4 linked regions of the Struthio camelus genome follow. The main gene of each other region encodes a partner of the protein of the gene in region 2 in a complex. Links are inferred from orthologs where the notes say so. Each region holds a gene or a part of one and is shown on either strand. Other genes may lie near its edges.

The links.
Region 1: TCTN1 (region 2) and TMEM67 share a complex: the UniProt entries of both Homo sapiens proteins name them as parts of the tectonic-like complex. The link is inferred for Struthio camelus from reciprocal best matches to the Homo sapiens genes TCTN1 and TMEM67.
Region 3: TCTN1 (region 2) and AHI1 share a complex: the UniProt entries of both Homo sapiens proteins name them as parts of the tectonic-like complex. The link is inferred for Struthio camelus from reciprocal best matches to the Homo sapiens genes TCTN1 and AHI1.
Region 4: TCTN1 (region 2) and B9D1 share a complex: the UniProt entries of both Homo sapiens proteins name them as parts of the tectonic-like complex. The link is inferred for Struthio camelus from reciprocal best matches to the Homo sapiens genes TCTN1 and B9D1.

Annotation. Positions count from the first base shown.
Region 1 is NC_090943.1:149,423,215-149,430,580, reverse strand, and holds the start of TMEM67 (meckelin), read left to right. Parts: upstream 1-4,357; 5' UTR 4,358-4,402; coding exon 4,403-4,586; intron 4,587-6,404; coding exon 6,405-6,493; intron 6,494-7,366. UniProt on the Homo sapiens protein: Required for ciliary structure and function. Part of the tectonic-like complex which is required for tissue-specific ciliogenesis and may regulate ciliary membrane composition.
Region 2 is NC_090958.1:18,032,760-18,040,179, forward strand, and holds the start of TCTN1 (tectonic-1), read left to right. Parts: upstream 1-4,416; 5' UTR 4,417-4,428; coding exon 4,429-4,651; intron 4,652-4,980; exon of another isoform or gene 4,981-5,119; intron 5,120-5,882; coding exon 5,883-6,003; intron 6,004-7,420. UniProt on the Homo sapiens protein: Component of the tectonic-like complex, a complex localized at the transition zone of primary cilia and acting as a barrier that prevents diffusion of transmembrane proteins between the cilia and plasma membranes.
Region 3 is NC_090944.1:73,414,665-73,422,055, forward strand, and holds the start of AHI1 (jouberin), read right to left. Parts: upstream 3,010-7,391; 5' UTR 2,692-3,009; intron 2,288-2,691; exon of another isoform or gene 1,985-2,287; intron 1,956-1,984; exon of another isoform or gene 870-1,955; intron 1-869. UniProt on the Homo sapiens protein: Involved in vesicle trafficking and required for ciliogenesis, formation of primary non-motile cilium, and recruitment of RAB8A to the basal body of primary cilium.
Region 4 is NC_090956.1:3,416,879-3,424,572, reverse strand, and holds the start of B9D1 (B9 domain-containing protein 1), read right to left. Parts: upstream 3,010-7,694; 5' UTR 2,655-3,009; coding exon 2,568-2,654; intron 1,396-2,567; coding exon 1,327-1,395; intron 1,226-1,326; coding exon 1,114-1,225; intron 1,044-1,113; coding exon 947-1,043; intron 382-946; coding exon 319-381; intron 1-318. UniProt on the Homo sapiens protein: Component of the tectonic-like complex, a complex localized at the transition zone of primary cilia and acting as a barrier that prevents diffusion of transmembrane proteins between the cilia and plasma membranes.

The DNA of each region.
Region 1 (7,366 bases), on a different chromosome or scaffold from region 2:
GTGCCACACTGAACTGTTGAAATGAAACAGACTGATCGTAAAGTGAGGGGAACACCCTCAATTCTTGGGAGTCCTTGAATGATGCACAAGTCCATCTCAATATTACTGTACGTGTCCATTCTTCTGAAGTCCACCTGCTTTTAAAGTTCACAACAAGAGTATGCTACTCACCATTCCAGCATTGCACTTAAGGGTACACAGTGAAGACAATTGCATGAAAGAGCAAAAAGAGTCAACAAGGAGATATTTCAGTGACTACTTCAATTTACAAAGTAGAGTTCACTATTTTCCCTAAATGCATACTGCCTTTCAAATATAAGAATCACTTAACAAACTAACTTCCATGCATCCCAGTTTTTTAAATTATCATCTAGTGTCATATATACATAGAACGCTACTCTCTCAGAGCAACGACAAGCCTCCAGACAAATGGCTGCATCCCTTCAGAAAAAAAGCCCAAGACCTTGATGACAAGTATCTGAGAATATTCCTTGGACAAAACTCTTGCTCAATAACAAGTGTCATGACACACTAATGAATGAAGATTTCTGATGCACAGTTATCTGTTGATCACAGTAACTAATCGCTCCTCCTGAGCTTACAAAACAAGTCGGAGAAGCCCCAGTTTTTTAACTGATTCTATGTTGCTTCTAGGTCAGCACTGTATAAACACAAACTGAAGACAACTGCCTGTTTGATAACTGCAATGAAGATCATCAGCTCTCCGCATCTTTATAATCGATCTTCTCAACAGATATGGTAGCAGTGCCAACAAGCAAGGAGAGAACTCAAGGGCAGAATTTTTGTACAGAACCTTCGTTTCTTGGAAAATCAAATCCGCTGGCCTGCTATTTCATGATGTATGAAACCTGTAGCATTTCTGAATTTTGCAACTCTGTATTCCTATCCCAATTTTTACCCAGCATTCAGAACCAGATATCCTCAGTACTTCTTAGGTGGTAAACGTCAAGTCCTCCACGACGGCCCACGGATACAGAATACAAATTGCAGTGCTCAAACAAGACACACCGATTCAAGATCATAACGTGATATTTAAGAAGTCCATAAACAAAAATACCAAAAATACAAGTTCGGATAATAGGCTTTAACTAGCTGTGCATTAAGCAACGAAGAAGCGAAAGCCAACACAGACAACCAGTGCAACTGTTTAAATGAATGACCTAAAAGTGACTTTTAGGATGAAAATATCTCACAAGACAAAAACCAGATCATCAACTGAGCAAGGCCTTCAAAGAACAAGTGTTTAGATAATAAACAGATGGCCTCATGCCAACACTTTAAAAGCACAGAAAAGTGCACACTAATGCTTTAGGAAATTCTGTATTTAAGCTGAGCTAACTAGAAAGTCGTACTGTGCCTGCCTACACTTCCACAGCCTTTGCAGAGCACATTGCAAATGCTATTAAAACTTCATACCACCTCACTGAAAAAAAAAAGCCTTCAAATATTTCATGAAAATAGGACTGCACTAGACTAGCACTTTTACTACCGGATAGAAAGATTACACAATCTGTATGCAATGAAGCCAACAGGAACACCCACAGAAATACCAGAAGCATAAAACTGAATTTTGATGAATATGTGAGTTAAGAATATGCTGGGTCAGGGAAGGATTGTTTATTCTAATCTTCTCCAAAACAAGCCTCAATAGTCAAAGTAAGTCACTGGGAGTGAAAGCCTCCAACACCGCTGAAGGCAGACGGGAGGGTGCCCTGCAGCTGGGCGGCCGCAGGGCCGGTTCCGAGCGCTGCTCCTCGGCGAGAGGCCGCTGGGAAGCCCCGGAGCAGCGGCGCGGCCGGCCGCACCGGCGGAAACGCGCCCCGCCGCCGAGCGGGCGAGGCCGAGGCGCGGGGAGCGGCGGAGAGGCCGCCTGTGACCCGACTCCGCGCAGAACGAGCGCGGCCTCCCCGCGGCACCGGGATGGGGGCACTAGGGAGCGAAGGGCGAAAGCCGCCAGCCGGGACGAGGGGCCTCAGCGCGGGCAACCGCCGCGCAGCCGCTCCGCCGGCGCGCACCCCGCGCCCTCGGCTACGCAGAGCCCTAGGGAAGCCAGGCGCCCTCCCGCGCGCCATCCACCCACCGGACACGCCGCCGGGACAGGCTCAGCACCGAGCCCCGCAGCTCCCAGCGCAGCACCGCCAAGATGGCGTCCTCCTTCTTCCCCCCGCAACAAGCAGGCCGGGGCCGAACTGCGCCTGCGCGACCCCCTCCCCTCCGACCCTACGGCTGAACTTGCACGAATCCTTCCGGGCCCCGCCGGCCGCGCGGCGCGGCGCGGCGCCGAGCGCCACCCTGCGCTCGTGCGCATGCTCGGCGCGCACGCGGTTTCCCCCCTCTCCGAACCGCCTCCGGGAGGCGGGGCCGGGAACGCCCTGTCCCTACCGCGCTTTCCGCTGCGCATGCGCTGTCTGGCTCCCCGCTCGTTTCAGTACGCATGCGCTCTGCGTAGGCGCGCCGCTGACGCGTGCAGCGTCGCGTGGTCACGGCGGCGGGATGTGCGGGGGCCGCTTTGCGAGCAGTGCGCATGCGCCGCCGGGGCGCCCCGCGGGACAGCGTTGGCGGCGCGCGCCGCCGAGGAGAACGGTGTCGTCCGCGCCGCGGTGACAGCGGGCGGTGGCGGCTGCGCTGATCGCTAGGGTTACGGCTGTTTGCAGCGACCTTCAGCCTCTCGCTTCCGTCAGTTCCGGCGCCTGCCCGGTTCAGGAAAAGGGGCGAGGGGGAAGTCCCTGCGAGGGCTGTGGGCCCCGAGGCTGAGAGCCGCTGGGAGCCGCCTCAGGCCTGGGCCTGGGCCTGCGGGCGCCTCTGGCACCGGAGAGGGGGTGTTGCACCCTGTGCTTCTGTTCCTAGGCGGTTCCCAAAGCTCAGGGGCCAATTGTTAGAAAAACAGTTTCCAACCTAAACTTTCTCGAGGTTGGCTCCAAGCGTGCGTTGGGAGAAATGGGAGGAAGGGAGAAGTAAGTAAGGGGTAAGACTGTCCATGCAGAAGGGGAGAGGCAGGCTACTTTCATCATTAAGGTTAGATAGTATTTTATCCATGCAGTGTTCATCTCACCTCCCTTTCCCTGTGTTTTAGACGTATTCCCTTATATTTCTAGACAGCAGTTCTATTGCTAGTCAGCTCCATTCTGATAGACTAAAAAAGCTTGGGGTAGATTCACACCCCCCCCCCCTTGGTCATCCTGGTAGCCCTTATCTGTCTTTTCTGGGATCGATCTCTATCTGGAGCCTAGGAAGTAGAATATGAGAAAGTGCTTCTGATGGAGTCTTCCGCAGAGCCACATCCAAAGCACGCTTCTCTCTTCTCTGTGTCTTTTGGAAACACGTTTCCTGATTTAACAATACAATTACATAGCACTGGTGGTTTGGTTACACCATGAGTAACTAATAAAATGAGGTCCTTCTGTCCTTTCAAACTGAGTTTGGGGAATTGCATTCCATTATATCTTAGAAAATAGCTAGAAAGTAACTGACATGAGGCTGACCAGAAGTTGTGAAGCTGCCTTCTCTTGGCATCCAGAAGCTTGCTGGTTATCACAGTATTAACGATTTATGAAATCCCTCTTCACATGATATAGCTTAGAAGCAGTGGTTGGAAATCTCACAAAAATAGGGTTAAGATTCTTGAGAAATAATTTTACTGCAGGTATAAATGCTATTTTCTCTGGAAATAATGCTTATAACCCCACTTTCCTAGCTTCACTGCCTGGGTGCTTGGCACAGAGGGAGCTGCTGTCTTCTCCTTGACTGGAGATGTTTAAAAAAAGAACATACAACATAGGAATTATCTGCGATAGCTGTTCGCTATCTCTAGGAGAGATGTTATGAACAGGAACTGAAGCATAAAAAGTTTAAGCATAATCACCCAGTATCTCAGCCTTTAAAAAATTCCATCAACGCAGCAATACAAATCTGATTAGGAATGAAGCATTTGGTGCGATAAGCATATATGCTTCCAAGCAGCACTATTATACGGACTCAAAATAGTTATGCGGTTATCATTCAGTAAAGAGATAGTGAGGAATAATGAAAACCGAGGACGCTCGAGTACCCAGAAAAGTTTTGGTGATGCTTGGGGGAAAGTGAATAAGAGCAAGTGAAAAAAGGGGTAACTTTGGCTTTGTGTGCGTTCATCTGGGCATTCTGTATGATCGCTCTGCTACCCGTCTCCTTAAAAACGAAAACCACACGTTTGCACCACCTGACGCTGCTCTGCCGCACCGCCGATGCCCTGCCGCCCTCCCCGCTCCCCGGCGGAGGCACGTCCGGCGCAGGCGCGCCCTCTCCCCCGTGAACGCTTCGCCTCCGCGGTTGGGCCCTTCGGGCGCTCCGTACCAGAGGCGATTGGCCAGTGAGAGCGCGCGGCTGCAGCTGCTGGGTAGCCATGGCGACGGCGCGGTGGTGGGGCGCCGCCGCGCTGCTGCTCTCGCTGGCCGCGGGGCTCCCGCCGGGCCGCGGCTTCTCCTTCCCGCTGCGGCGGCCCGGCGGCTGCGGCGACGCCCGTTACTTCGACATCTCCCGCCTGGCCTGCGGGCCGTGTGGGCCCCACCAGAGGCCGAGCGCCGACGGTGAGCGATCCGCGCCGCAGGGGGGCGGGCGAGCGGGGCTCCTCGCGGCTGGAGGTGCCAAATCTGGGCTCAGATTTGGGCTGCTTTAGTTTGCAAAACGATTGTTCTCAGGTACGAGTCTGAAAAGCAGTGGAAAGGGTCAGACCTTCCAAAAGGCATAGGTGTCCGTAGCACAGATACGATATCTGTATTCTGTTATATATCCAAGAGCAATATATGTACACCTTTTCTCTAATCTTTCTTTCCTTAGGCATTTCTGTTGTTACAAATGCCCACTTTTTTATCAGTAAAATTCTATAGGTCCCTAAATTTCTCTTCTTGAGAGCTTCCAAAACTTGAAGCTTCTTGTCAAAACTCACATGTCTGAGAACTTAAATATCTGAGACTTTCAGGCTGTGCACAGATTAATCCGAGTCCCATGTGGGAATGTGGAGGATGCTACACGTATTGACAGTACTAAGTGAAAAATGTACTAAGTGAGCAATGTTCGCTTTCTTTAAGAGACATGAGTGTATGATAGTGTTCCGCTTTTATGAATACTCAGTTTTGGAAAAGTGGTAGTTTCAGTGGTGTATGTACATTAACAAATCAAACTAAGACCCAACAGCTTATTTCTTTGGAGCTGGTCCCTCGATTAAACGCAGTCATCTGGACAGCTGCGCTCCCTTATGTGAGGTTCTGGCCAATGAACTGTTGCATGCTCTGCTTCCTACGGCGTAGCTACAGCAAGAACGATGGGTTGTCCCTTGCCTTTGTCCCCACGCTGTGGGATACTCTTGGCTTGAGACTGTTGCATAAAAAAAGATGGTCACCTGTCCCACCACCTTTAATGATATCTTAAGATATCCATAAGAAACATACTGTAGCGGTTTTCAGTTGCATTGATCATATAGTTATCTAAATCCGTAAGTCCTTTAGGCTTGAATTTTCCTCTAACATCACTGTTCTGCTCGGGGCTTCAAGGAAACATATAAATTCCAAGGCTCAAGGATTCCATGAGCTCAAGGATTTAGACTTCTCCACAGCATCTTCTTAGAGCAGTTTAGGTTTAGATTATAAAACCTCACCAAATTTTATGTGAATGTTTACATGCACGTTTCTATGACCTTAAATAATAATAAACACACACTATAAAACAGAATTGACTCTAAGTACTAATAAAATGTCTTCGAACTTACAGAGAGGGATCCACAATATCTTGAGAGTAAAAAGTTACTGGAAAAAAATGCTATTGAGTGTAACAAGCGTCTGCTGTGGTGTGCCATGGTAATTGTGTTTACTTTAATAATAAACATTAGGTACGCTCTGTTACTCATTGGAAACTGATCCGGATGCACAGTTTTAAAAGCTTTGAATTTAAAATAGCTTTACAAACTACATTTATATTTTTGAAAAAATCTTCGCATATAAAGGTTATGTTTTGTTTTTCAGAGTGATTTCCTATTCGAAGGATTAAAAACTGAATACAGACATATGATGCTAATACTGTTGTCCAGAGGATGGGCTAAGTGAGTCAAGATTTGTACCAGTTATTAGATCAACTGGTATAGCTGAAGGAAGAACGCAAAGACACACACCTAGTATAGTTTTTCTCCCACTGTATCAGTCAACCTAATCTGATTTTCCCAAAACCTTTTCCTACAGTCTGTAACATCTACTTTTTTTAAAAAACAAGGCGATTTTCATGCACATGACACTCAAGTGTTTTATTTGTGTACCTAAGAAACTAAACTGATCTCTTAAGAAAAATAACAGCTCTATTATGTGGAAAAAACAGTTTTGATTTATGTAGTTTAAAAGGGAATTATTTTTTTCCAGGTCATTCATGTGTATGTCAGCCAGGATTCAGGATGGTTTCTAATAATGGTGGGCCCTCTGTTATTTGTGAAAAATGCCCGGAAAGTATGGTAAGCATTGAACTTTTCATAGTCTGCCATAATAATGCTTTTTTAAGTCTGGAACTTCCATCTAACTGCAAGTTATTTTTCTTTAATTTTAGATTATTTTGAAAATCAGTGAATTTTTAACCTTAAGACCATGTAGTATTTATTTTCCTCTTTAAAACTGTTTATTATTATTAATTTGCAGGGACCTTTTAATTATAAAATTGTGTTTTTAGGCAAAGTAAGAGTATTTTAAATGTTTAATTTCCTTCTGCTCCTTTTCTCTTCTGCTTCATGTTGTGTTACTCTTACCCTGAGACCACTTCTTTATAGAAAGCCAAAGATGAGTTTCAGTTTTTTAGTTTGTTTGTTTGTTTTTTTCCTTATCTTATTTGGTTATTTATATAAATCCTATTTTTGTAATATTTGGGCTGTATCTTCGTACCCTGTCATTTATCTTTTCACTTTAAAAGCAGCAGCTCATTTTGCGTTATTTTAGTTACACATACCTTTGTGATTTGCTCTGTTCTTTCTGCCTGTCTCGACAAAGTAAACTTAGTTTTCTCAGTATTCACAGCAGTGAGCCACAGGCACCAGACTTAACCAGCTTTCTCCCGCTATAGTAAATAGAGAAATAATATTTCTCTACCAAAAACAACTCTTGAAAGTAAGAGCCTTCCAAAGTACTTCTTTCTCTCCAGTAAGAAAAACTCTCAAGAGATCGACTTGAGCTGGGTTAGTGAGATGCTTAATGGCTGACTGGGTAACGTAACTAATCTCCTCCCTCTTTTCATCATCTTGTTGCTACTTTAGAAAGACTTTGAGGGATATCCGTTGGTGTTTTGATCTTTCTGCTATTTCTTTTTTTCCTATAATGCTGGCATTATCATTATTATT
Region 2 (7,420 bases):
CAAGTCATCCAGCTTCTCTATAAAATACGACCTATTGTAGTTTAATGGTGACTGACTTTTGGTCAGTGTTAAAGTTGTTTTGAATGGTATCAAACTGAAAATACATATTCAGATCAAATAATGCACATACAAAACTGTTCCTCTTAGGATTTTCTTCTGTCTAATTTTAAAAATTTAAAGTAACAGAAATGATACCCCTTCTGAGGGAAGCTCTTTCACAATAGTAGCTCTAACTATTGAGCATCTTTTATTGCTAAAAACCTCCTAACACGAAAACCTGTCTGAGGTCAGCTAAAAGTCTTGTATGCGATGCGTTCAGAAGAAACACTTCACCAAAATGCTACAGATCATACAACAGCGGGAACAGCAGACATTCAGCCAACAAACAGCTTGATTAATTTATGAAGACCAGGCTGATTAAGCTAATCCTGCTCCGAGTTAGTTTAAACGCCCCAAATAAATTTAAACTGTCAAAACTGTCATCAAAAGGATGTCTGTCCATGAGCAGAACTTCTTTCATTGCCCTGCTGCAGAGAAACACGTTGACTTTGCCAGTTTGCTCACGAAGACTTGCATGTTAGTAACTTCATTCAGACTAGATATTGGTGCACTGTTCTGAAAACTGTCATATCTTTTGTCCCGAGGAACAGCAATAATTTCTTTAAAATTATTTTATGTTTAAATATTTTAAGGGGAAGGGTTATGGTGAAAGTTACATAGAAAAAAATAATCTTACTGATTTACTAAAATAAGCTTGGATAGAAAAACTGAAATGTAAGCAGTGCTTTTTGCTTAATCTTAGTGTTCTATTAAAGACATTGGGTTGCAAATGCCACACTATTATGTTTAAATGCACATCAAAATCTTGTTCCTTAAAATGTAACTGCAGTAACAATACAGTAAGTCCTTTAAAATGCTTTTAATAGACAGCAATCTACTGGGCCTTAAATTTTCATTTTTATAGGACCTCCTATATGAGGATCACAGTGTCCTGTTAATTATTAACTAACTCATGTTGATAGGATAAATTAAAAGCTCTGTGATGGAGAACATGTCTTATTTATTAATGTCCTGACCTTGTCCTACACGTTGCAGAGCTTGCGCTTTGGAACCTACTTCTCAAGACTAACACAGGTTTTTCTGTGGTGGTGAGATTTTTCAACTGTTTTCTCTTATAGTTGGTTTTTGTCTAGCCTTTCTTTTCTGTATGACAAAGTTTTGTTTTTCTATTGCCATTTTCTTTGTATCTGTTTCTGCATGGACCTAATTTACTGCATTCTGTTAATATGTAGATATCTCCAGAAAAGCTTCATGACTTTAATAAACTATTACATTTCATAATTTAGAAATTCAGAGTTACTCACTTAACAAAGCAATAATAAAGAGGAAACTGAAGCGACATCAGCACCTACGCTTGCCCTATTTTTTTTTTTTTTATTTAAATTATGGCCAGTATCGGAGATGGGGTTAGGTGAAATGTTGGTCTGACTGAGTAAACCCTTACTTCTGAAAAAACTGTCATGAAAGAACCTGATTCATTACGCTATACTTTGATATTGAACACTTTCCCATTTGCTCTATTCTATTTCAATGGTAGATGTGGTGAGAAATGGTATCTTCTTACTTATTCAGCTTCTGCGCACATGCGGTCAGAGTCCAATCTGTGCTTGGCACCAACTCACAGACTTCAGCACAGCCTGGGTTTCATCTAGGATCCTGTTCTGCTGTGTGCCATCAGCTTTGCAAGTCATTCCAGATGAAAAAAAATGTGTTAAATTCCATTGTCTCTTGCGCATTATCAACAGAGCAGAGCTCTTCACTGATTTCAAATCCATTAGAAATGTGTAAATTAACAAGCAGGGGTGCTGTGCTTCAATATTAATTATCTCATCTGATGGCAGTGCAGTTGCACAAGAGAAACAGAAGACAGTATATGACCTGTGATGATACTCAAAGAGGAAAACCATAAATTAAGCACCACTCTCCCTCCAAGCCCACAGACTAAATTCTAAGACACAAATTTTGCAGCAGGACTTATAGGTAGGAAAGACCTCTTCATTCTTGTTAATTGACCACATGTGGTAAATGGGAACTGATTAGTCAAGGAAATTCAAGGAATTGTAAACCCCCAAGTCAGCATTGTCCAGGGAGAGGTTTGATCTCAAACACATGACAGCGGAGGAGAGAGCAGCCACATGGTAGAAGGTTCCTTTCTACAGGAATGCCTCTCTCAGCTGGGACAACAAGCACCACAGCAATTAGAAAAACTTCAAAAATCTATTTTACTTTCCCCTCAAGCAAATGGGTGTGGAAGCTTCACAACAGTGACAGCAGAAAAGAGCTTCACTCTCCTTTCAGCAGGCAGGAAACCAAGCCTCCTTTACAGAGGAGGCCTAAGGCCTCCTTCTTCAAGCTGTAAGACTTCTAACTCTGGCTAGCTGAGAATAGGTCCTCAGTTGACATCTATTATCTATGCCTATCTGCTGTACTAAGCAGGGTCAAATACCTGTTTTTTTTTTTTTTTTTTTTTTTTTTTTAAGGAGACCATGTAACCTTCCCTTCCCTCCCACCCCCTGCACATAGTCTCCACTGTGGCTGCAGCCAGTCCTGGCACAGCCTAAATGAGAAGCAAAAAAGTACTCCTGCAATGCCATTTTTATATACACTCCCTTTCTAAAACAGAACTGTAGGTGAAGTCACTGCTATTCTTCAAGCCTGAAAAAGGAAAAAAAAAAAAAAAAAACCCCACCCCAAAACCCAGTAACATAATTTTGGAGACCTTGTTGAAGGGAAACACATGAATGTTTCCAGCTGAATCAAACTAAGGTAATCTCAGAATCAGCAAAGAAACAAACTACATCAGTTCTCCTGCTTCTAGGAAGGAGGCAAATACAGTAACTTTAGGTTATACTTGTTTTAACAGAAGGATTGTAGAATGGCGACTCAGGTCAGACAGTTATTGCATATAAGGTACCCTGAGATTTTAGGTCCAATGGAGTACACCAGATTCTCACCTTCATGTCACCACGTCCTTAGTGCACTGATGACTTTCCAAGAGGAAGGATGACTCGATGCCAACTGATATGGAGCTATTTCAAAGCCATCCTCGTAACTGGCAGTTGTTACCAGCTGTGCTATGTGATACAATCAAAATGACCTTGGTAGCCCTGTACCTTGTGCGGCAGACAATAGCCTGTCTCTCATAATTCAGCAACACTTTTGTCAATAATTGGCTTTTGTACAGTCCCAGTGGAGCAGCAGAAACCTCAGCAGGCTAAAGAGATTAATTAACTCACCTCATCTCCTCTTCAGATGTGGTCGGTCCAGGCCAGGCATGACACACTCGGGCAGAGGACAGAAATGGCAAAGATGCTGTATGCGCTGTGGAATTATTTCAGTTTTCAATAGAAGAACCTGGAACCTCTCCAGCACACTAAATTTGCATGCAAACATGAAGTTAACCTGTTCAGGTGTTGTGACTGGCACTGAGAGCGGTCAAATACGTTAAATGCAAAACAGAACACGCCCTCTTGTGGTCCCGAAGCTTTCAGTGGCTTCCCTTCAAGATGATAGGAACGAGCCTAAAAAGAAAAATAAGAAACTCTGTAATGATGCACTGTGCGCTTTGATGCGGGAGCAAACATTGCAAAGCCGCTTTAGATCAGATAATGCAAAAGACAAATCTCAGAAAGTTTAACTTTAAAAAGCGCACGTTGATTCCTGCTTAGACCCAAGGCCTGGATGCTAATATTTGTGAGCTAACTCTAAGGAACCCTGATCATTTAGTCACTCTGTAGCTCAATTTCCCCAACTATCAAGTTGGTATAAAAATGCTTGTATATACTGCAGAGGTACTATCAAGATAAATGAATATGTGCATATGAATATGAATGAATATGCGCATTAAAGACCAAAAGAACCTGCAGCTTTTTCAAAAGAAAAAAACCCAAGATGAATACTTTTAAAATTACAGTTTAAGAAACACAGAATTATTTTTTAAAAAGTTGCATAAACATACAAATTGTAAGATTTTATACCTCACAAGGGGGGGGGGGCCCTCTTTTTTTTTTTTTTTTTGCATATGGTTTTCCAGTAGTGCCCAGCCTCCCTGTGCGGAGCGAGATCTCGCAGGGCGCACGGGGGCAGCGGCGGTGGCTCTGTCAGGCCAGGGTCGGGGCTGGGGTCAGCCTCCCCTCACGGCCCGCCACAGCACCCAGGGTGCGCCGGCCTGTCCCGTGGGGCCTGGGGCAGCCCCCCTCCCACGGCGCCCGGGGGCTCGGGCCTGGCCTCTCTCCCGTGATGCCCCGGGGCCTGGCCTCTCTCCCGTGATGCCCCGGGCTCCAGGTTGGCCTCTCTCCCCTATGATGCTCCAGGGATCCCTCCCATGATGCCCCGGGGCTGCGGGCGGGTTTTCCCGTCCCTCCCGTGATGCTCCGCGCTCCCCTAGCAACCGCGCGGATGGCGGGGGGGAGGAGCGGTGCCCGCCCGTTGCTAGGGGCGGCCATGGCGGCGCTGCGGCTCGCGTTCCTCCTCCTCCTCCTCCTCCTCCTGGCGCAGCCCCGCGGCCCCCTGCCCCGCGCTGGCGCGGTGGCTCCCGCGGCGCCCCCGCAGCCCCCCACTGCTGCCCGCAGGCCGGCCCCGGTGACGGACGGTGGGTGCCCGGGCCGGGCGGGGGCTGGGCGGCTCCCCCGGGCCGGGCCGGCCCCAGGCCTGCGGGGAGACCCTGCGTGCGCGTGGGGCTGGGCATGGCCCGCCCGAGCCCCTCATTCGGCCCTGGACCCTATAGATAATATTCTGTCACAGCTGTGCCCTCGGCAAGCCTTTCCCGCTTCTTCCAGTCAGCGGATAGGTTCAGCTTTTGATTTCCCAGTGTTGCCTCCCTCCGTTCCGTTTCGCTAGATCACCTGCGGAATTAAACGCGTCCTAGCGTGTGCCTCCTTAGGGAAGGGAGGCTTAAACCCCTGCTGTGTTTAAACTTACCTTGTTTACAACAAGGTGAGCAGAAGACTCCAATCCTAAATTCAGCTGACAGAACAGTCAGAACTTCAGAAATTCCAAGAACTGGCTGGATACGGTTCATGGTGGGCAGAGAGCTTCTGGAGGGCCACAGGGAAGTGTGTTAACAGTCAAACTGAAAGGAAAGAAGTGGTAGTTACGAGGTTAAATATTCATTCGTGTCCGGCCTATGCAGTGCTGATCTTCATTTTCTACATTTTATGCTGCCCTTAAATCTAGATTAATACAGAACAGCCACTTTCAAAACCAGTTAAGTAAATTAATATCTGTTCTCTGAATTTGTAAACCTGGGAACAGAAGAATATTTTAAGAAGCTGCTAAATTTATATTGTCAAGACAGTTCACCATATTGCTGGTGATTACTTCCTTATTATTGCAATATTCACAGTATCCGAAGACACAGAGAAAAAGCAACTGTAAAGAAATTAACTCTAGTTATATTGCAACATCAGGGAAACATTACTGTATCCTGGGACACGTCTGATACTTCTAAACTTCTCATTGCTGTAGGATAACCCTTCTCTCCTTTCATCTTCCCCCCCATCCCCCCCAGCTGAAACAAACCTAGCGTTGCTCCATTATTTGTATCTTTTTTCTCAGCAGTACTACATAACGTTTTAATACCTTCAGCATTCCTATTAACTCCAATTGCTTTTTTGATTTCACAGGGAACACAGGATCAGATTTATAGTATGCCTTGGAAAAGATAACTTTTTAAAATGACTTGTTAAAAAAAAAAAAGTGAATTTGGATGTAGACTTTTGACCATTGTCAAAATTAGGCAAGGTGAAAAATTAAAGTGTTTGAGTACATATTGTAATGTGTTTAGATTTGATTCTAACACTAATTTAAATCTTTTTCTCCAGTTGCCAAGCTGTGTGTTTGTGATCTGTTGGTGGCGCAGTGTGATGTAAATTGCTGCTGTGACCCTGACTGCAGTGCAGCAGATTTCAGTCTCTTTACTACATGTTCAGTTCCTATTGTCACGTAAGTGAATAAATGGTTTTCTGAAATACAAACTCCTGTCCTGTTTGCTGCGTGCATTTGTAAGGGCTCTATCCTGTCCTCTTACAAATCCCTAACCCATCCATCCTGACTACCTTTTCAGCAGTCCCTCCTGCATTAGGCATGCAGTCCTTCCTTCCCCAGCAGGTAGGAGAAAAGCAAATTGGCACCTGACTCCAGTTTCTCATTCCCTGTTTTCCAGACCTGTGCTCCTTGCTTTTCCCCATTCCACTGTCCTACTGTACGTGGGCATTAGCTTCTTTAGAGGGAAGAATAATGTATCTTTAGACTTTTATCAATATAACACAGTGTCTGGAAGCTAAGAAAGCTGGTACCATGGGACAATTTGACCATGTGGGTCATCAGCAATTTATCAGTAACCTCTTTCATTGGTGTTTATTGCATCAGATAGAAACATGATTGATTCAGGTCTGTAGTGAAATACTCGGAGAATCACTCTGGTATTAATTTTATGAGCAAGTACGCAACTTGCTGTCTCACTGCCATTGTCACTTCACAAACAAAGTAAAATGTAACATAACTATCAGCATTATGTTCTTGATTATTGTTTCTTTGCTACTTACAGTCTATCTGAAAATACATTTACCCAGATTTCATCTTCTCAAGTAGAAGCTAAAGTTAATTTCAGAATCTTAATGTAAAAATCTCTTGGTGACTTCTCAGAACAATAAGTATAGCTCTTCAACCTACCTTCTGCATAAATTATGCCAATCTGGAAACTGGAGTTTATTCTCAGTGCTTTGAAATTTCAATTAGCAGTCATCCTCTACTGCCATTCCTTATTGTTCTTGCACACAATGACTACTGCTCCCCATTTATAGGTATTTATATATATCAGAAAGGTCTAATCAACACCTTCCTGAATGACAGTTTAATTATCTCAGGTGACTAGTCTGTCTTTGCCAACTAGAAATGCAGAAAATCAAGTTGTATCTTTTTTCCTAAATTCTTTCCTGTAAGATTTTCATTTTGCATGAAAATCCATGGTATTTTCAATGACTACAAGTGTTCTGGATCTCATTATTTACTTATAGATTTATATACATTTGAATAATTGTAATGGTTACTAACGGGGTTTTGACCACAAGTTAGAGGTTATGTGGTCTGTAAAATGCAGAAAACGGGGGTGTTTTATTTAGGATATGATCCTATTAAGAAATGGTTCACCTCCTGAAAAAGTTTAGCTCCATGCATAAGAAGTTGTTCCTAAAACTCATTTTGCTTTATCACTTTCTATCCCTGACTGTTTTAACTCGCTCTGCCATAAGCACCAGTTTGCCAGGAATCAACATGCTAGAAATACATGAAGGTGAAGGCACTGGTACAGCCACATTGGATCGTTATTTCATCTCCCGGTTTCTCACCTTGTCCTTTCTTA
Region 3 (7,391 bases), on a different chromosome or scaffold from region 2:
ACCAACAGGGTAGCAGTATTTTCCCTTACTAAAATGTATTTTGCCTGATAAAGCAAATCTTTACTGTCACAATTAAAACAGTAATAGTTAAAAGTAACACAAACGCCTAATTCTTACAAGATATGAAGAAGAAAACATGATTAAAAATGAATCTGCCTTTGAAGTTTATACTTAGGTACATAGAAAGCCCATTCTAAAGCCCATGGCTGTTAAGTGCTGCTTTTCAATTACTGAATTCACAATCAGCTGGAAAATATTTATAATTTGAAAGTGCAGAAAATGAAATATAGCTATAAAATATAGCAGAGTCTGTCACTTTAATCATTCACTGCAGATTGTAGAAACACAAAAACTGCTGTTATTATTAGCTTAGTGATTTCAACCACCTTTGAAAAAAACCAATGCTTTTTAGATTTAATACAAAGAAAAAAATATGAGGAACAATATAGAACAAAACTGCAAAGTAAGCATGGTGTATACCTATTCCAAGTATGAAAATAATTTTATAGCCAAATGATAAATAAATCACACTACAAAAAAACTACAGACAAATTAATTTTGCAGATATTTTTGCTTATCATTGAACAATTGCCTCTCCAAGGGCTTTGCCCGTCTTATTTCCACCACTATTCCTCTGCAAAACATACAACGTACCAAATTCACCGGTGAGTTCACCACTCTATATTTACCTCTATTTACTCAGCAAAAATATCTATCTTAGCAAGTCCTATGACAGCGCTGTTATTTCCAACATATTTCCAAGTTAGAATTACATAACCTTTGACATAGCGCATTAAAGCAACTTGTGTAAATATAGCCCATTAATCGACAAGGGTAAGAACAAGGGTGTTTGCTCTGTATAATCTCACCTTAAAATAGGAGAGAGTTAATCGCACAAATTCAGCAACCACAGTACCCCGATCTGAATAAATTCAGTTGTCATTGAGGTGCATCTGTTCAGTGGTATTTCTGCATGATCAACTTTCATCTTTTCTGTGTTAGCCAATATAAGACAATGTTTCCAGGAATGACAAAAAAAATCACACTTGGGAACAGTCAATTCCAGCCATCGAGAATAGCCAGAAAAACAAAATCATGGAGCCAAAGCTTCCAAGAATTTACTGGGCACCTTTCTGAAAAATCATCTAATTTGCTGTCCTCTAATATTTTGTCTTTATTTATAAATGTTTTTTTCTCCAATTCATCAAGCTATTGCTGTCTTCACAATAGCTATATTTTGTTATCTGTCATAGAGATGTTTTCTATCCCAAACACATCACAAAGCACGCATCTCAGGAAAATTTCATTAACCCCTAAAGAAAAAAAGTCAAATCTATATCGTAATGAAGGAGAACATACACAATTTGTTCAATGTTACATGGTAGTGACAAGCCCCCCTATCCGATTAAGATCGCTATGGAAACTGAATTGATAGACTATAATTGCATCCTTCAGAATTTTAATGAACTAAATCTCATATTTTTCCACTATTGCAAAAACTAAATGTAATCTTCAGTGACTAGAAACAAATGGAATCAGACTTTTAAATTAGATCAGTCATCATAGTGGGATACCTTGGGTTTTACTAGTAGGTTTCTCACTTAAATATTTATAGGTATCACTCACTTAAATATTTATAGGTATCACTTCTTCTTCAGAGCTGAGAAAGGTTTAAATCATAATTATACAGCAAAGTAACAGTAAAGAATCTGTCCCTATTTACTAATGATGGATGTGATACCAAAAAGGAGCCCATTTTTATTCATGAAAGTTATTTAAGTGGCATTGGCTGTCAGCTTTCTTAAAAGCCTTATTATTACCACATAAACACCTATGAATCAGCGTATCGAAAGTATTACTAGAGCCACTGCAGCTTTCTAGCTGTTTAGACGTACCTGCAACAAACTTGTGTCCACACTACTTTAAAAGAACATTTAAAAGCGCTGATGCTATCTATCCATTGAATTGTGCACGAGTAACATACCAGAAAACTTTAGTTTCTGAGTAGTCGTCATTTTTTCCAGAACTCTCGGGACCTTTCGTTAGTTAGAAGGTTGAATTAAAATCCGTCCCTGCCCTAACGGCAAAACTATGGATTTCAGTTTCCTATAAAGCAGTACATCTCACTTGATTACTTCGTACAGTTTTAAGTCTCTGCCTTATCACAGATTACAATTACAAAAATGAGTTCTCGGTAACAGACCACGCTTAGGTATTTATTTCCGGAACGCTGTTTCTCTTTGCCTAGAGGAATAACGGAAAACAACAGAGATATCAAGGGCCACTAGAAGCATCCAGCACCAGGGGACTAACGCATGGGACCGGGGCGCCCCCCGCCCGCCCGCGCGAGCTCCGGCAGCTGCCGCGCGCGCCAACAGCTGCGTCGCGGCGCGCGCTGTAACGGCTGCCAACCCCCAGCCCGAGCCCCCCGCCCCCGGCAGGGGGAAGGGGAGAGGGATAGGGCGACTCCGAGGGGAGGGGGCTCGGGGGAGGGAGCAGCGGCGGGGAGGCGTGCCCCAGCCTACCCGCCTCTCCAGCAGCCGCGCACCGTAAACGGGCGGCGGCAGCGCCCAGGCGGGACCGCGGCCCTACGGCGGCCTTCCCGCCCACAGCGGGGGCACGGCCCGGCGTCGCCCCGCTCCCCCCCGCCCCCGCCCGGCAGCTCCTCAGCAGCGCGAGGGCATCACTCACTTTGGCCTGTCGGCTTCACGCTCGGCTCCGTCCTGCCGTTGTACTGCCTCCCCCCGTCACTGGTTTCTCCCTCATCCCGCGAGCTCCCCCCCTCGCAGTGCCTCGCAGTTGGTTTTGCCGAAAACAACTACAAGCTGCCAAGGAAACAGCGCGCATGCGTGCAGGAGGGCGGAACGGGGAGCCCGCACGGCTTGGGTTTCACGTCGGGTCGGATTAGGTGGGGCACCCACACGGCCCTTCTTGCCGGACAGGGGGCGTCGGCTGGACGGCAGCGGGGCGCATGCGTGGCGAGCTGCCGGAGCTCAGCGGAGCGCGCCTGCGCGGCGGGGGCAGGTGCTTCGACAGGCGTTTCGGCAGTTTGTGGGGCGCGCGGGGGGGCGGCGGTGTTCCTCGTGCGCATGCGCGAGGACGACTGGTGGGGGTGGGGCCGCCGTCGTGCGGGGCCGGGCAGCGTCCGTTTTCGCGTTTGGCGCCCCGAGGCGGCGGTGGCGGCGCGGCGCGGCGCGGCGCGGCTGGGCCTGGCCAGGAGCGCTCGGGCCGCTGCTGCCGCCCGCGCCGAGGCGCCGCCTGGAGGCGCCGCTTCCCGCGGTGTAGTGCCACTCGTCACGGCGCAGGGCGCTGCGGAGCCTCCCGGCCTCGCGGCAGTGCTCGGGCCGCCTGGCGGCAGGCGCTTCCCGCCGCCGGGTCCGCCGCAGGCTGCGGCCAGGCGGTGCCTGGCGGAGCTGGCAGGTGGCGGGGGCCGAGACAAGCCCTTCAGATAACATTCTCCGCCGCGGGAGTGCGCTGGCCCGGTTTGCACCCCGCCTTTGCTCGCTGCGCCTACGTGACTGCGTGTGGAAAATGGGAGAGAAATACTAATCATTTAAGAGCGATGTGCCTTGCACAGATCTCTTTATTAGACCAGGACAGTGTATTTTACAAAACAGAGAAAGGTCAGAAGCTTTCATTAGTTCTGCAGTTGCTCAGGCGTCCTGAGCCTGTTCGTAGCTTTGCGTTCTAATGGGTGACAGATTGATAAGCCCCTTCTTGAAAAACATAAAGTGGGAAGTTAAAACAGGAAAAAAAACCGTGGAAAGCTTTAATAACAGAGCAGTCCCGTAAAGATACCTTAAATTGTAGTTCATTTCAAAAGTCAAAACCCTTCTCTGGGCTCATACTAACAGTGAAAGTTATTTTAGAATAATAAAGTCTCTGGCTAGTAGATCTTTATTGCAATCGGGAGTTTTTCCGTGGACTGCAGAGCAAAGACATCTGCTCTTGCAAATGGCAGCACAGACGTATGTACTGAAGTTAGACAGATGCTTCAGAAACTTTTGTTTTCTCTGTGATTTAGTTGCTAATTTAAGCAATCTTTTGTTCTCTAGGTATAATTAAATACTGATGATTATCAAGACAGATTTGATCATTTCTTATTTGTAAGTGGATGTTGCAGGTTTCTTCAACGCTAGAGGGCTCACTGTTTTAGCTCCTGAAATCAATGCCGGTCTTGAATTAGCGTGACTGTATCTGTTCATAAGCCAAATCAGGCAAAATTAGTCTTCAGTTCACTTTCAGTTGACCATGTACCATTTGTATGACCTAGAGGTCAGTGAATGCTTGTGATACTGTGGTTGTGACATTCGCTGTTCTCAGGTATAACAGTTCCTAGAATTCTGTCAAGATACACCATCTGTGTCAAAAGAACATACGTCCTTCTTTGTTTGCTCCTCAAGATGCATTAATAGCAGAAGCTATTTTCTTTTTCCAGTTCTCTTCTGCCCTCCTCTTTCTCAAATGCATGCAAATGTTCAACTGGTAGGGGAATGAGGTATTAGCAGGACAACTATTGCCTCTCACGGTTCAGATAATTTCATTTTTGCTTATTACTGATATATAGGAATCCCTGTAATATGGAGCTTCTTGGTTACTAGTGACTGTCCCTATCGTTAAAATGAAAATATGGAAAACCAACCAAACTAGAACCAAATGTGGAAGTTAATCCTTTTTATATTTAAAGCTATGAGAAATTCTACCGATTCTACTGAAATTCTACTGACCACCTAATGGTCTCTGGGCTAGTCGTAAGCTAGATATCTCAGTCAGCGGCAGCCTTTATTTTGGCGTTGTGGTCCCAGGAAGTTCCAGCAAAGAATAGAAGCCTTCCATGCCACCTCTTCCATCCTACAGGTAAATTTCTACGTCTGTGGTCTAGCAGGATTCAGGAAAAAAGGAACCTAACAGTTTTTTCCAGACCTTGTATGTCCCAAACTCTGATGCAAATCCTAGCCCCAGCCTTCAATACAGAGTACGTGTCAAAATGGTCCCCCAAAAGAGAATACTGGTTGATGATTATTGTGATGTGTTTACTCTGTTCGACTAGCCGTACTTTATCTCCATGGTTTGTTTTAGGATCCAGCAGAAAAGTTACCTCTTCAAAACCTTTTTCCCTGAACCCGAACACCAATACCAATCTTAACACTTTGGTACAATCAGGAAACTCTATTATAATAGTGTCAAGAGACTTAAGAGTAGCCTCATAAGTATTTGCAAGCCAGCCATCTAAGTTTCTAACAAGCATCTAAGCATTATTAACAAGCCCTAGTCCGAACTTCAACCTTGGCTTCTAATACAGCTGCAAAAGGCTTTTAATACAGCTGTGAAACCTACTGAAACCTACTTCACCTCTGCCAGTAACTACCATTCTTGCAGTCTTGCTAATGTCCATCAATGCTCTCTTGAGTAAAAAAAAAAAGCATTCTTATAATAATGATTTTGATTTTTCTATAGGATGTTGACTATAGTGACAGAATTGTCAAAACCTACAGGGACTGTTCTTACCCTCTGTTTGCAGTAATTAACTAATATTCTAAATAACTTAGAATTGCTCTCCATTTGCATATTATATCATGGACATCTTGCAGGTCAGGGAGAGTGTTTATTAGTTTTCCTATTTCAATAGGAAATAGCTATTTCAATAGCTTCCTCAAGGGAAGGGACAGAGCTGTGGTAAAGATGTTTGTCTCTTACTAAAGCAACACCAGCTTACTTCTTTTAGAATGTCTTACCTTCTCACTGTAGAAGGATTGAAAGGTAACTTAAAATGCATTATCAAGGGCAGCAGAACATTCTGTCCTTCAGATTTGACAGCAGGTGCTGCTTTATTGGCTGCATTTGTAGGCAGTACTGAGTATAATAATCGTTGACTTTTGCTAACACCTGTCTTACCATAGCATTGTCAAGAGAGCGCTACTTGGCCCCGTTCAAAACTGTCAAGAACCATGCTGACAATTGAACAATGGGGGCAGTTGCATATGAGACCTCAAACCTTATTTAGTTTACCGGTTATTGTGGTTTAATTGCAGCTATTAATCAGGATCTGCGATTAGAGAATATGAGAATGGGGCCTACATGGTTTCTGCTCCAAACTTCTACCATAGCTCTGTTTCTGCCACTTCTGGACTTTTAGCTTCTAAATATAGCCTAAATATAAGTGTCTGATATTATCCAAAATAACCTTTGACACCCTGCTTGGCCTCCAGCTCTGTTTTGGATGTTTGATATTCTCTTGGCTTTTCCGAATTATATTCTAGTCAGGGGTCAAATAAAGGTTGTTGTTTTAACCCTAGTGTAGTTACTATACCTCCACAGGCTATGCTTAACTAACTTGGAACTGGGCTGCACTGCCTTTTCCAGTGCTTTATTAGAGCTTTGGCTGACACTTCTGCTGAGGCAGCTGTCCCTAGGACTGTGGCTAGTAGCCCTATGCCAAGTGTGTCAGACATGGTGTAACAACCTGTGCTGAAAACTAGATATATTCTTAAGAATCTGTTATAGGACAATGGTGAAGACAGACTCCCAAAAGCTTTCCACATACCATGTTCTACTGCAACCTTAGACCTCCCTTGCAAAGGTTCGCAGTTACCTGGTATAATGCCACACAAATGCTGTCCTTCCCCATAAACATAAGGCTACACACACTGCACATCTGCAGATATTCTAGAGCAGTCTGCCATGTGATACCAGTGCAGCACCTATCCTGGTGTCTGTCTCCAGGAGACATTTTTTATGAATCAGGATGTTTTGCCACTCACCAGTTCTCTAACGGAATCATTCCCATGTTACACAAATTAGTTTTGCTAATTTGCGAGGCATACTAAGTGAGAATTAATAAACAACAGCCCCTAAAATTTAACTCTTCAGCCAGGACTCGGCTTGCAGCAACAATAGCTGGATTCATATTTTAATGAGTTCAGTAATAAACAGTCTCAACCTCTCCAGCCAGAAACCTGAAAAAATTAAATGCTCACATAAACAAATTAGCTCAACAAAAAGTATCTTTTGAAGGGTGGGAAGAGACAGGGCATTTCAGAGGTAGACTACATAACATACAATACTTAGTTGTTCTCTCCTGGAGTGTACCTGTTACTCTTTCCTGCCTTCAGGGTAAGCGAAGGGTTGGGTGGCTAGCTCGTTCTGACTTCCAAAATGACCATCTCACTCATACTTAGTAAAACTTTAGGGTGATCTCTGCTTGTATCCCTGCTCGTAGCAAGAAGTGATCCGTACTACTGGTTACTGGTCTTGCTCCACCAGTGATGCTGGTTGCAATACTAATGCTAGTTCACTGGAGCTTTTTTTTTTTTTTTTAAAGCAAAGCTGCAAAGAGTATTTAGGTTTGCATCCCAGGGCTCCAAGCCTTACAACTGACAGTTTTCCTCATT
Region 4 (7,694 bases), on a different chromosome or scaffold from region 2:
AGTTCAGAGATGAGTCTGTTAAAATTAGCAACTCTTTCTCAAACAAACCTTGTTCAAATCCAAGGATGACAAAAAAGGCAAGTTAGACAGCATTACTCCAAGCAAATAGTTAACAGGTTTTATGAAAGCTCTCTGAAGGACACTTTAGCTTCACCTCACTTAGTTCCTCAACTTTAGCTTCACCCATAAAACTCAAAACTATCTGTTTATGATACAAAATACGTGTACGTATGCACAAGTGAGTAGCTGGAGATACTTTTTTTTTTTTTTTTTTAAGAAGTTCTTCTTAGTCTTACTCACAAAGTCTTTAATTATTACCTTGTAAACTTCTGCAGCCTAGATGTAGACTCCGGAACAAACATAGGAATAGTTCTTATGTGCCTAAAACAAACATGAAAGGCACAGAAATTAAGAAATGAACCAAACAGCAATGGCAAGCCTCCTTATTTTTATTAAAGAGGCCAGAATTTCAGATACATTATATCACTGAACATCTCAGAGTAAAAATACTTTCCCATCCACAGAGGAAGGGCTTGCTTGCATAAGAAAGCTAGCACAGAGCAAACAAGTCACTTCAGAGTGCCATACATGCTGCTGCATCCTAGGAGTCCCAGAGATATAAATACAGAAGAGCATAGTAACTTACTCTACTTCCAGTGGCAGAAATGAAAGCTTAGCGCCTGCTGAGAGTGCTGGGGAAGAAGAACTGACATACTGCACTTCATACTTGGACTTTCTTCATACTAGTTTTGACTTTACGGAATTGCCTGCAGGATTACCAAAAATCATCTGATAACCAGGGGCTTCTACTAGAAGATCTATGCTGTTCATACCACTCTGATGACGTGACAAGGAGATAAGGGGACATTTTTGGCTCTGAAACAGCACAGATACTTAGAAATAAATTCCATTTTGATCCTGAAAGATGAGTAGGTCATCACCTCACCTTCCAGGTATAATGGGAACATGAACAGCTCCATAGCCTCTGACCACATCGTTTCCAAAAAAATCAGGTCCATAGACGCTTACTACAATCTGTGGCCCTGCAAAAGAAATGGAAGTCAGCAGGTTGCCTGGTCTGCGAGATGGGCCCCACCACCCCTGGGCACTCACAGCCGGATGGGTTTGTGCTCTTGAAGGTAATGTCGATGGGGAAGTTCCAGACGAGTGTAGAGTTTGCGGCATCGCTCTTGGAGGTGATCTGGGAGATGCCCTCCTCCAGGCCCTGCAGGGAGAGCGTGGCATGAGCCAAGGACCCCTGCCGGGCCCGTTTTACACAGGCCAGCAACGCAGCCCGCGTTTCAAGGGGACGTAAAAGGCTCTTACAGCAGTCGGAACCCAGTCCTGGCCGTAAACGAAGCAGAACTTGCAGTAGAGGTCATCAAACTCGGGGAACTGCGGGAGAGAGAAAGGCTGCGTTACTGGGGCTAGGGTTGGGGCCGAGCTACATTAGCGGGACCGAGGGCCAGCCTGTGTTACGAGGCTGAGGGAGCCGGCGCCAGCGGGGCCGAGAGCAGGCCGCGGTACCAGCACTGCGGCCAGTCCACTCCACGAAGCCAAGGTCCTCAGGCTCAGACCAAGCCCAGCTACCAGGGCCGGGGCCGGGGCTGAGGCCGGGCTGCGTTATGGGAACCGAGCGCCAACACACGTTTGCAGGACGAGGGCTGAGGCCGGGCTGCGTTATGCGAACCGAGCGCCAACACACTTTTGCGGGACGAGGGCTGAGGCCGGGCTGCGTTATGGGAACCGAGCGCCAACCCACGTTTGCAGGACGAGGGCTGAGGCCAGGCTGCGTTATGCGAACCGAGCGCCAACACACGTTAGCGGGACGAGGGCTGAGGCCGGGCTGCGTTATGGGAACCGAGCGCCAACACACGTTTGCAGGACGAGGGCTGAGGCCGGGCTGCGTTATGGGAACCGAGCGCCAACACACGTTTGCAGGACGAGGGCTGAGGCCGGGCTGCGTTATGGGAACCGAGCGCCAACCCACGTTAGCGGGACGAGGGCTGAGGCCGGGCTGCGTTATGGGAACCGAGCGCCAACACACGTTAGCGGGACGAGGGCTGAGGCCGGGCTGCGTTATGGGAACCGAGCGCCAACACACGTTAGCGGGACGAGGGCTGAGGCCGGGCTGCGTTATGGGAACCGAGCGCCAACCCACGTTTGCAGGACGAGGGCTGAGGCCAGGCTGCGTTATGCGAACCGAGCGCCAACACACGTTAGCGGGACGAGGGCTGAGGCCGGGCTGCGTTATGGGAACCGAGCGCCAACCCACGTTTGCAGGACGAGGGCTGAGGCCGGGCTGCGTTATGGGAACCGAGCGCCAACCCACGTTAGCGGGACGAGGGCTGAGGCCGGGCTGCGTTGCCGGGCCGGGGCGGGCCAAAGCCAGGCCACGGTGCCAGGACAGCGGCCAGGGCCGGGCCTGGGCCCTCAGCCGGCACCGAGCCCGGGGCCGGGCCTGCCTTACCGGGGCCGGGGGCTAGGCCGCGCCGCCGGTGCCGAGACCGGTCCGCGCTGCCCACGCCCCACAAGCCCATCGCGACCCCCCGGCCAGTCCCGCTCACCTGCCCGCTCTCGATCTGCCCGCTGACGGCCACCAGGAAGACGTCGGGGCTGCTGCTGCTGCTGCCGCTGCCGGCGGCGGCCGCCATGGCGCCGAGCGCGGCCTGGCTCGTTGCTGGGGGGGCGCGCGCGCCGCCGCCGTCGCCCTGGATACCGCGGACGGCGCGGCGCTGGGGACACGCTTCCTCGGCGGGCGGCGCTTCGCGGGGCCGCCGCTGGGGGGGGGGGGAGGAGGAGGAGGAGGAGGAGGAGGAGGAGGAGGAGGAGGGGGAGGGAGGCCCGGCCGTGGCTCGCCGCTTAACGGCGCTGCCCACCGCCCAAATTCAGCCCCCCGAAAGGCAGGCTACCCCCTGCCCTTCCCCGCCCTGCCGAGAGAGCCCGGCTGAGGCCTGCCGCTCTCATCACACCCGTGGCCCGGGGGGCGGGGAGGCCGCAGCGCCCCCCCCCCCCCCCCCCGGCCCTCGCCGTGCGATTCGTCGAGTTTCTCTAGATTTATGTGGTTTATGCTCATATTTTCCAGCCCGGTTGGAGCCCCGCGGCGGCCGCTAGGGGCGGCCTCGCGCCGGGAGGGTTTCCTTTATTTTTGTTTAATTTGAGATTTCTTTGGTTTGTTCCCCCCCCGCCCTGCTTTTTGCTTTTTTGGCATTCAGCAAACCAGACCAGATCGGGGTTGGGGCGGAGGGGGGGGCAGAAATCCCACCCTTTGGCCCCTGCCCCCCAGAAAAAAAAAAAAAAAAAAACAAAAAACCCGCTCTTTCCAAGGGAAAAATATCAGGAGGCGAAAATAAAGCGGCCCCTGACCAGCCGCCCCGGGCCGCCGAGTGACCAGCTACCGCCGCCCTCGCTCCGGGCCGACGCGGGGATGTTTTCACCCCCGGCCCGGCCCGCGCGGCGGCGGCCTGAGCCCGGAAAGGGCCGTGGGGGCTGCGGCCGGCGCCCCTCACCCTGCCTCTGGGCTCCTCCGGGCGCGGGGGGCTGCTGCTGGCCGTTGCCCCCACGCGGGCGCGCTGCGCCGGCCGGCCAGGCCCCCGAAAGCCGGTACTTTGTCACTGCCGCCTTCTCCGGTACCGGCAACGCCACCCCGGGGGCTGGTTCGGTGCCGCCCGCGGGCGCTCGGCCCAGCGGCAACGTTTTATTTATTTATTTATTTTTAAATCCCAAATATTTACGATCAAGCCCTGCTCAAACGGCCAGGGAGATACGTTTTATGGTGTCGTTAATCCGCAATAAAAAACAAAAACCACCCAACGGCTTTGTTTTCAGGCTGTTTGCACAAGGAGGCCGGTCTGAGCCATCGCCGCCTGCTTCTCCTCGAGGTGCGGCCAGCGTCCTGCCCTTCAGGCGCCTCCTGCTGCTCTTGCCGCCCGCCGCCCCCCGACCGATGGCCGGAGCGCACGGACTACTGCTCAAATTCTTGCTAAAATATACTTGCCCCGAGATTTCTTTCGCTGGGGGGGGGGGGGGGGGACCCAGCACTTCCCCCTTCATTAGGCCGGGTAATTAGCAGGTGGGCGCTGGCCGCCTGCCCTTGGCGCTCCGGCCGGCGAGCCGCGCAGCGCCCGGTCTTGCACGAAGAATTAACTCGTATGGCAACGTGTTACCGTCCGTGAGATGTATTTATTTATTTTGCTGAATGAGGAAAATTAATTAGTGCCAGGTAGAATAACTCACACGCGGGCAGGAGAGGGTGAGGAAGCCTGGGGAAGCCGGCGGGGCGATCGGGTTCGGTACGGGCGTAAGGAACGACGAGCAATGAAGTTATTCCTGGGCCGCGGCGGGATTGCAACGGAGAGACCTGTCGAGCTGCTGGAAAAAAGCCCTGAGAGGGAGATTGCAGCCGCGCAGAGCGTGCTGAATGAGGCCCTGGCGGGATGCGCACAAATGTCTAATGAAGACCCCCCCCCCCCCGGCCGCCCCCATAAAGGAGCAGACAGGGCCCAGCCATCGAGGTACAGCCGTGTACTTAAAGCTTAATAGTGAAGGTTTAATGGATAAAGTCAATTTAATTACTCATCCTGTGAAAGCTCGTACAAATATCAAGTGCTTATTAGTATTCATGCCACCTGCATGGTCGCGCAACGATGACAGGTTAAAGGTTGTGTCGAACTGCACCTGGGATGGATTCAGATTTGGGGAACGGGCATCCCTGAAAGAGGAGGAAAAGTTTGTTACGGGAAAGACCTTGGGTAGGCTTTGAAGAACGGTTCTCTCAAGGAAACCACCACGGCCACGATTAAAAAAGGGCCAGGTTACAGCGAGGGCAGAGCAGCCGGCGCCGGAGGCGCTGCCGGGGCTGCACGCAAACCCCTGGCCGCCCTCCTGCCGGCGCAGCGGCCTCGCTGAGGCCAGAGCATTCGTTAGTTCCTTATTTCGGGTGTTTTCAAGCATCCCTCCCGCCCTGGCGCTGCCTGACCCGGCTCGGCGCAGACACCGAGCGGCCAGAGCCCGGCGCTCGCGGCACCGTCGCCGCCTCCCGGGCCCCGCGCTCAAATCGCTGCTTCGTCCTCCCGCGCCAGCCTTGGCCGATGCTCTGCTGCCCGGAGCCCCCGACGGCCCTGCGACCCTCCCCGGGGCGTCGAGCCGGTGAATCAGGCGCAGCAGCTCCCTCCTGGCCCCGCTCATCTGTGCAATGGCGAAAGCAGGGCTGGGGCTGGCGACGTCCGGGCTCAGGCTTCGGTGCACCATTTGGTGGGTTGTGACCAGCTGGGAACCTTCCATTTTTTGCAGAAATGCACCGAAATGCTAAAAGCAGCGGGCGGCACTCGGGCAGCGACGCCAGCCCCTTGCACCCCTCTCTGCCGCCTGCCAATAGCGATGCCGCGGCCGACGTAACGGGGCCCGTGCTGAAACCTCCCGCCCGGAGCTCGGCTGCCCTTAGGAAACCGCCACGGTGCCAGGGCCGGGCAGAAAACCGACATCTCTGCGAGCCAGAACTGCCGGGATATCGCCCCCGTGCCGAGTCCCTGATGCCGTAACCCTAGTTCACCGCCGCATCTAGGACAGGAGCGAAAACGCTTCGCGCCCGCCCGCAGCCAGCAGCCCGGTCTGGGGCTGGCGCGCTCCGTCGGCGAGCGAGCCCGCGGCACGTTTCGGGGGCGAGGGGCCGCGCGGAGCCGGCCGGCCGCCTCTGCACGGGCCGGGCCGGCGGTGGCCTGGCGGCTGCAGCGCGCACGGCTCCGCAGTTGCAGCTCCCAGAGGATGCTGGCGGTCAAAGGCGAAGACGCGGCTTGTTTCCCACGCTCGCGTCTGTGTCCTTCGAGCTAGCTCAGTCCCCCCCCAGCCCCCCGGGAGCCGGCGCGGCGGGAGGAGGCCGGTTCCCACAGCTGCGCCCGCCAGCGGCCGCGGCCGGGAGGGTCCCGAGGCCGCGGCGGCTCCCGGCACGCCGTGGCCGCCCCAGCGTGTGCACAGCAGGCGCCAGCCCGCTCCCCGGGCCCGACGTGCGGGGAAGACAGTCACGTCGGGCGAGACGCTCCTCCACATCCTCAGCTTTTCTCCGGAAAGCAGAGTGGGGCTTTGCAGCCAATAAACTGTGAATTAATAAAACAAAAAAAAAAGGAAAATAATCCACAGGGATGATGCACCGGCCACCGGTGAGGGCGCGCGCTGCCTGGCCGAGGGCTGGCGCCGGGCGCCGGCGTCGTTTGCCCCGGGCTCGTTAGGCTGCGCAGGGAGGTGTTGCCGCGTGCGGCTCCTCCGGGAGGAGGGCGCGGGGACAGGGCCGCCTGCGAGCGGCCCCCAGGGCCAGCTGGGCACGCGGAGGGGACAGCAGCGCTTCGGAAACGCCTTGTCCGTCCCACTCCTCCTGCTTGGCGGTAAAACGGGCCGATTTAGGATTTTTTTTTTTTTTTTGAAAGCCTCATAAAGACCAAGTTTTCCCCTTTGCAGCCAAAACCTTCTAACAGCAGCGGTTCCCGCCGCACACAGGCTTCGGGGCGCGGGCGAGGGCACGGGGGCCAGGGCGGACGCAGCACGGCTAAGGAGCTACGGCGCGGAGCAGCGGCGCGGCGAGGCCTCCCCCCGCCGCCGGCGGCCACTGCGTGCCCCAAGGCAGGGTGCTGAGCAGGCCGCTGAGCACACGGCGGCTGCCTCGCCGCCGGCCCGGGTGGGAGCTGCTGCGGGACCCCGCCAGGGCTCGGGGTGCCGCTGCTGCTGCTGCCGGGGCTCAGGGTGCTGCCGCCGCCACCAAGGCTCGGGGTGCTGCTGCCGCCGGGGCTCGGGGTGCCGCCGCTGCCAGGGCTCAGGGTGCTGCGCTGCTGCTGCCGGGGCTCGGGGTGCCGCCGCCACCAGGGCTCAGGGTGCCGCTGCCGCTGGGGCTCAGGGTGCCGCCGCTGCCACCAGGACTCGGGGTGCCGCTGCCGCCGGGGCTCAGGGTGCCGCCGCTGCCACCAGGGCTCGGGGTGCCGCTGCCGCCGGGGCTCAGGGTGCCGCCGCTGCCACCAGGGCTCGGGGTGCCAGCGGTAGCTCGCGCCGCGCCAGAAAGTCAAGCCACGCTTCCAGTTTATACAGTTTAATACATGTGAAACGAGATACATTTCCTTTTGAGTACTGAAGGCATAAATAACAGAAGATATATGTGAATGCATAAATATGAGGCGGCATGGAAGGAACCAAACCAAAACGATTTGGGGGAAAAAAAAAAAAGGTTTTTTTCTTTTTTTTTTTTTTTGCGTGCGTTTTGTGTTTTGTTTCTGTCTCTTCCGCGGGGCGGGCTGGCGGGGCGGCCGCTCGCACCGGGCAGCAGCTTTCCGCGGCGGAGCCGGGATGACGAGCGGGCCGGGGGAAGGAGGTGCGAGAGCGCAAATAAACCCCAAAAGCAAGGAAGAAAGAAAAAAAAAAGAAAGAAAAAAAAACCAAAAAACCCCCAAAAAACAAAAAAAGAAAAAAAAACAAAAAGAGAAGGAGCGGTGTGGACAGGTGACCTGAATTGCTCGAGCGGCTGCTCAGGCCGGCGCGGCCGCGGGGGCCGTCGGGAAGGCGGCGCGGCCGCGGCCGGGCGCAGGCGTGCGCGCAGGGACGATGAACGGAGAGGCCGCGGATGAGACGGTGCCTGGGGCCGCCTAGTTTTCGAAGGCGTTACGCTCCGAGGAGAACAAGCCACTAGCTTCAATGCTCACAAAGAACATCACCTA